Bombyx mori: one gene and its partner. The protein of the gene in region 1 binds, or shares a complex with, the protein of each later gene. Links are inferred from orthologs where the notes say so. Each region holds a gene or a part of one and is shown on either strand. Other genes may lie near its edges.

What was found.
Region 2: the proteins of WD repeat-containing protein 48 homolog (region 1) and WD repeat-containing protein 20 are in contact, whole or in part, in a crystal structure (PDB 5K1C), measured with the Homo sapiens proteins. The link is inferred for Bombyx mori from reciprocal best matches to the Homo sapiens genes WDR48 and WDR20. Residues at the interface, in NP_065890.1 of Homo sapiens: Val191, Lys207, Gly208, Gly240, Gln241, Gln242, Arg243, Cys244, Ile245; in NP_653175.2 of Homo sapiens: Arg20, Ser364, Thr384, Glu385, Asp386, Glu524, Pro525, Leu526.

Annotation. Positions count from the first base shown.
Region 1 is NC_085134.1:8,701,807-8,704,726, forward strand, and holds the end of WD repeat-containing protein 48 homolog, read right to left. Parts: intron 1,921-2,920; coding exon 1,735-1,920; intron 1,438-1,734; coding exon 1,342-1,437; 3' UTR 764-1,341; downstream 1-763. UniProt on the Homo sapiens protein: Regulator of deubiquitinating complexes, which acts as a strong activator of USP1, USP12 and USP46. Enhances the USP1-mediated deubiquitination of FANCD2; USP1 being almost inactive by itself.
Region 2 is NC_085131.1:12,892,878-12,897,444, forward strand, and holds the start of WD repeat-containing protein 20, read left to right. Parts: upstream 1-1,448; 5' UTR 1,449-1,704; coding exon 1,705-1,980; intron 1,981-2,436; coding exon 2,437-2,619; intron 2,620-4,567. Other genes in the region: HIV Tat-specific factor 1 homolog, read left to right, coding at 1-542. UniProt on the Homo sapiens protein: Regulator of deubiquitinating complexes. Activates deubiquitinating activity of complexes containing USP12. Anchors at the base of the ubiquitin-contacting loop of USP12 and remotely modulates the catalytic center of the enzyme.

The DNA of each region.
Region 1 (2,920 bases):
GTTTTTTTGACATCTGTTAGAGCAGTCGCTTTTCTGAAGCAATTATGAGCAACTTTTTTAATTAAATGGCCAATTTTTTTTTTTTTTTGGCGGTCTGTACGTATATTAACTCTTATTAATAATTTAAAAACTTTATTTCTAATAAATATTAGAATAAAAAAAATATATTTTTATATCGGTGAATCTAGAATAACCCCTCGAGGTTACTAGAATAGGTAGGGAAAAAAAGAAGTGAATAGTGTACGATCTACACGCAGCACTGCCGCTTAGACAAACTCGAGTGAAAAATGTGGAAAAAATAGTAAACAGTGCCATCTATATTTTACAGAGCACAATGAGTTTCACGAATTCTCCTCATTCACTCATACCTTGTGATTAATAAAAGATGGCGCATATTAGAAATATTATGAAAAGAAAAAAAACTGAATTTCGTCATGTACACGGACTGCCGTCATTCACATTGAGTCATGAGTCACTACTGAGCTTCAATTGAACTGATATTTCCATTCTATCCTTCAACTGTAAGCCCGTCATTGCTCTGCGGCACCCGAGCATACAGCTCACCTGATGGTGAGTGGTTACCGTCACCCATGGACATCAGCAAAGTCGGGCGCAGAGCCAAGCCGCTGCCTACCGTTAAGTACTCCATAAGCCTCGTTTGAAGAAGTACATGTCATAGCGCTCAGGAAACACCGTAGAGGGGAGCTCATTCCACAGCCATTCCAGTCTTATTCAATGTTTATTAAAAATGAAAAACAACACATTAACATTTACATGCTTTATTTAAATTATTTCAATTATTATTCTACGTAGATTGTCAATTATCATACATTATATTGTTGTTGGCAATATTGCGGGCTAATTAAAAATCACTAATTATGACTTCGTTTCAATCAGATGACCAATGACAGATTTAATATGATTTCACGGTAGAACAGAAATATTCCTCTTATACCTAGTTCGAAGAAAAACATGTCATGAAGTCTCGTAAATGTCTTTATTTTTTCTCTATTTCATTGATGAAGATTTATTATCCTATTGCTATATTTTAACATTTAAATTAGCTAATAAGAATATTCGCAATGCATCAAATATTTTATAAATTTCCGTTTCCAATGATTATACAAAAAACTCCAAGTCTGGCAGCACCGGAGAAATCCTTACCACAACGAAATCTGACGTTTCGCCAACTGACATTTTTAGCGTTGACGTTGACAGATGACAGATTTGACGTTTCAGTGTGACCACAAAGCGACCTCGTTTCGCGCATTATTCAAGCACACAACGAAACATTAGGCACTTCTTTAGTTGCGTTCTGCACTCGCTGAAGTTATGCGTATTTCATTGTTTTAATATACGATAGTGTAGCGTGAACTCGACGTTGGACTTCCAAATGAAATGGCGGACCGTTCTTAGGTCCATATTTGGGTCCAGGACCTGAAAATTATCATTCGAGAATGTCATTTCAATGAATGAATTTCAAACAACTTTCTTTTTTATTTTTTTTATTGCCCTTTTAGGCAGACGAGCGCACGGCCCACCTGTGAGTGGTTACCATAGCCCATGGACTTCAGCAATGCCAGGGGCAGAGCCGAGCTGCTGCCTACCGCTTAATACTCTCCACAAGCCTATTTTGAAGAAGGATATGTCATAGCGCTCGGGAAACACCGTGGAGGGGAGCTCATTCCAAAGCCGGATGGTACGTGGCAAAAAATACCTCTGGAAACAACTTACCTGATCGCAACACAGCAGCTCAACTTTTTCCTCAGGGGAGCCATCGTTTCCGCTGTCCTCATTAGCACTCCCCTTTCCGCTTCCCGCACTGGCCCCATTTACATCCCCACCGCCAACTATTTTTTCCACGACATGTTCGGCAATCTTGCGGCATTGTATGAAATCATTGGCAACCAGACGATCCTGCTTGGTAGTCGGTAAAGAAAATTTATGTTATTATTTCTCATAATATATCTTATGTGACCAGATACTGTGCAGAATATTATTGTTACGCCGGTAAGAGTAACGCCATCTATCGCCGAATAGTCGAACGAGTATCGAAGGATGTAATAGTATCTAGAGCGCTCGAGAAGTACAGCGCCATCTATTGTCAGACAACGGAAACACACAGTACTCGACTTTTGTGGAATATTCTTAATGATTCTAGGGATTTCGTCTCGACTGTAAAAGCGTTGCAGAGATGGCACGCAGTTAGTAATATGAACTACACGAAGCGAAACAGCGAACGGATCACCTGAAGCGAAGCGGAAGAAGTGAATGGAGAATTTTAAAGTGTTTGTGAAGTGTTCTATGTGTTCTAAGTGCTAATACAGTGTTAACTTGTACTTCGGTAGATTTTTTATTTATCCCGAACCTCAGCGCATAGCATTAATATGTTAATTTACATGAGTTATCCATACATTGCTTAAGCTATTGCTAAGTGCTGCAAATATATTAAGCATAGTGAAAAATATAATCCACTTCCTTTTTATAACAAACTATATCTCGATGCCACCAATCTCGATCCTACTCTAACTCAAAATTTTGAAATTTTCGTTTTTCACGCAAATCTCATCACTATTTTAAAATTATTACATATTCATTATTAATGGGGTTCGAAGCAAGAGTAAATCAGCTAGTTACACAAGAAAAGGCAAAAATATATCTGCAATAATAAAGATTTTACCAGCTTTTTTCGTTTAAACGCTCCTCCTGTAAACTTACGAATTTGGAGTTGAGAGTAGTGTTCATTGGAGGCATCGATCTATACTAATATTATAAATAGGAAAGATTTGTTTGTTTGTTTGTATTGAATAGGCTCCGAAAGTACTGAACCGATTTGAAAAATTCTTTCACTGTTTGGAAGCTACACTCTTCCCGAGTGACATAGGCTTATAATCTTTCTTGAAAAAAATTAGGGATCCTT
Region 2 (4,567 bases), on another chromosome or scaffold:
AACTATTTGATTGGAGGCCAGAGAAGTTTATTGGTGAACGTTCTAAACACGAAAGAGTAGTTATTGTTAAAAATTTATTCCACTCTAGTGATTTTGATAAAGAGGTTCAGCTTATTCTGGACTATCAGCAAGATTTGAGGGAAGAATGTGGAAAATGTGGAGACGTTCGGAAAGTAGTGCTCTATGATCGCCATCCTGAAGGAGTGGCACAGATAACTATGAAAGAGCCGGAACAAGCTGATGCTGTTGTTCAGCTGATCAACGGAAGATGGTTTGGCAAAAGACAAATCACTGCAGAGATATGGGATGGCAAAACTAAGTACAAAATTGCTGAAACTGATGCAGACATTAATCAGAGGTTAGATAAATGGGGTAAATTTTTGGAAGAAAAAGAAGATGATAATAAGGTAATTAAATTGCCTGTTGAAGAAAAAGACACAGATGAGCTTAAAGTTGAAGAGGTTTCTATTGAAAAAGAAAATACTCAATACCTATCCGAAAAAAGTGATATAAACAATGTAAAATTAGAAATAAATCAATGAATTTTCAAGAAGTAGTTTAGATTTCATTGTTCTTTTTTTATGATTAGCATAATTATGCAATTGGGCCCTCGGCCAATTTATTACTATCGGTAGGTGGTCGACCAACCTTGCTCTAACCTCAGCTTTACAATAATGACATGAAATGCCGTTCCCGCGCCGCCTGCATCCAACGCACGCAACCTATGGACTATGGTATTTTCCTCTGCTCTTCTACGAATCCTCTCATTCTTATTAGATTTTGCAGGGAAACTCCAACCATAGCTCGTCCCCTCCCCTTTGCTCTGAGAGTGATTTTGAGCCTTCTGGTAAGGCCCATAACTTAAAAACTTATGAATTGAGAGGGACTTCTATCGTGTTTTTTCATTCTCTACGTCATAAAATTTAAAAGTTAAATCAAGCGGTAAGTCCTAGCGCGTCTAATTAGGCGCGTTTTCATGGATAGTTTTCATAGGTAGTTGTCTAAAACAGTTTTCAGAGTTTGTATTAATGTTATTCAATCTATCGATCTAGCGATACAACGGTGTTCGAATCCCGCCGGCAGATACCAATTTTTCTAATGAAATACGTACTAATAAATATCAAACAAGCAAAATTATAATTTGCGTAATTACTGGTGGTAGGACCTCTTGTGAGTCCGCACGTGTAGGTATCACCACCCTGCCTATTTCTACCCTGAAGCAGTAATGCGTTTCGGTTTGAAGGGCGGGGCAGCCGTTGTGACAATTCTGCGACCTTAGAACTTATATCGCAAGGTGGTTGGCGTATTTACGTTGTAGATGTCTATGGGCTCCAGTAACCACTTAACACCAGGTGGGCTGTAAGCTCGTCTACCCGTTTAAGTAATAAAAAAAAAACACAGATAATACACATAACATTTAAGACGTTGTCACTTGTCATTTCGTCAAGTTGTCAAGCATCGACACCTGACTTGTGACTGCATACAACTTTTCACTTCAATCAACGCTTATAATTAAAAAACGGTAATCAAACAGACTTATCGTATGATAGGTGAATGAATTTAATACTCGAACACGTGTGAACAAGTGATGGCAATCGTGTGCGACCGGTGGGAATCCGGCTGGCAGACTGTTTAATCTATCAAACGCAATCGGAGCTTCTCTTGCAGCAGTCTCCATGAATAATAACAGGATAATATGTTAATATGGCTGTGCAATCGGACTCTGGAGGGAAGGACGAAGTAAAGACTCAGTTTGTGACACGCGAAGGGACTTACCGCTTGATGACTTTGTCGGAGTACTCAAGACCAAATCGCGTGGGTTATACCAGCGGGTCGGGGTCTTCGCACGTCCGCGTGTCTCTGGTGTCATTGCCGCCAAGTCCTGGAGTCGGAAACTCGGACTCTCAAAACTCGGACGACAGAATATGTTTCAATCATGGCAAAGAACTCTATGTTTACGTGTACAGAGGTGTCAAAAAGGTAATCATTGTTTATTTACCAAATTAAAGAGAAAAATATCATGTGCATAATCAACTGGACTAGAGGATACTAATTTTATTATTGTGTCTAACTACAAACAATATGATATGAATATAAGACTACTTGAAATAGTTAATATCGTATCATTCCTCCTTAGCAGAAATATCATCACTTATTTCTATACCTTATGAAAATACCTAGTTTGTAATGCCTTTATTTGTAACTACTAGTGGGTAGTCTTTTTCTGTGAGTCCATAAGAATGACTATAACACTAACTGCCTTCATACTGCATTAAATATTAGTATATTTTAAAACAAAGAGTAGCTGTTTTACCAATACAATTGATATTTCAATAATTTGTCTTGAAGTGGGCATTAGCATTTTTATTGTGGTGTCCAAGAGATTTCTAAAGGCCTACAGCAGTAAGATAACTAGTGATACTGTTATTTTTTCAGGCAGCTGATCTCACCAAACCTGTAGACAAGAAAATGTACAAAGGAACTAATCCTACATGTCATGATTTCAATACTGTCACAATGACGGCTGATAGTGTATCATTAGTTATAGGATTTTCTACTGGCCAAATACAACTAATAGACCCTATTAAAAAAGAATTAAGTAAATTATACAACGAAGAGGTGAGTAATACAATTTTTGTTCAAATAAACTCATAAAGTAATTAATATAGAAATGAAAGTTAAAAATAAAGAGATAGTGATTAGAACTGATATATGAGGCCTATAAAATCAAAGGCAGCTATATCCAAGTCTGTCAAATATTCAGGTAAACTACAAAAACCGTAGAACTGATATATGAGGCCTATAAAATCAAAGGCAGCTATATCCAAGTCTGTCAAATATTCAGGTAAACTACAAAAACCGGCCCTACATACGTCATTACGGACCCTCCTGATCCATCGAAGTACCGCTCTTGCTAGGGCCAGTGTTAGCAACACCCGGTTTGAGAATCTGAAATAACTTTGTTCGTATAGCTACGATATTCTTTATTTTAAAACAGATTTATAAAGAATGAGAATATTACTAATGATCTGAATTTTAAATGATAAAACTTCGTTTATTAGTACTTAATACAGAGTAAACTTAACTTTTTTGAACTGAATTTGTTAGAGATTTAGCTGCATTTGTTATAACATGAAAACACTAAAGCATGTTCAACTAACTAAACAAGATAGAGCCATTGTTAATACATTTTACGACATTATGGTGTTTAGCTGCCTTTGATTTTATAAGCCTCATATGACCTTACATGGGATTTTTCTGTTGTGTGATTAATCAGAAACTACCTAATTGACCTCAAGCTGAGTGAGCATGTGAAATCTGCTTTCTGCTTTCCTAAATCCTTTTTTCTATTAAATCCAACTTCTCTTTTTATTTCCTGTTTCGTAAATAGTCTTATGAGCTAACAAGAAAGTATATGACCCCATTACCTCAATAAGCACTTTATGTGTTCTGGTAATACAGCATACAATACAGCAACATAGCTATTGTTTTAATGCACAATATCTCAACTTTTTTGTCTAATTGTTTGATATTAGATGGACTGTAAATGTATTGAATAAAAAACAAAATTATTATAATTGAGCTCTTTTACTCTTACAAACGGGAAATATATTCTATTATATTTACTTATAATTTTTCTTGTGATGATAAAGTATAGTGATTCACTTTGATGATGATGAGAACTGTCTTGTTTACATTGGCCATCACACCACGATGCTGTCTTATGTATGCTATGAAGCACTCATGGGTTTGAGTGTGAAGAGTGGGAATGCCATTAAATAATATAATTAAGACTTAAAACTCATGTCTTAAAGCAACTGGTGCCTTACACATTGTGATGTTTTAATAAAAGAATAATATGAAAAAGCAAAAATCCTTTATATAGGACTATCAGGCCCACTTTGCTCACTGATCTTTGTTTTGAATTCGATTCAACTGCTATAAAATTCCACGGGATTATCCTAGACTAATCTGAAGTTTTCCTGAAAACTTTATTAAAATTGGTCCAGTCATTTAAGAGTATTTAAGAAAGATACATACACACTTAACATACAACACATAACGGCTGTCTGGTGTAGTGGTAAGTGACATGGTCACTACACAAGGGGGTCGCGGGTTCGAATCCCGCCAAGGGAAGATATTTGTATGATAAATATAAATGTCTTTTCCAGGGTTATGGATGTATATTAAATATGTGTATGTGTATAATAAAAATCTTACATTTATTTCCGTTATCTGGTACCTGTAACACAAGTTCTTTACGAACTTATCACGGGACCAGTTAACGTGGCGTGGCTGTTAGTAAATATTTATTTATTTATTTACTCTGACTCTTAAATGTATATTATTGTAGGGGAATGATAGCCCGCCCCGCTTAGCTTACTATGCATTTATAGTAATGAGCAACATACGTTAGTCAGTCAGTGGTTAACGTACAGCGATCCACCGCGGTTGCTGACCGCGAATAAACATATTATAATAATCATATTCAGTGTTTTATTGACCACTCTGATGAGGTTTCCGGAGGAGAGCGCACAATAAAACCTCTACATCAGCAAACCTCACA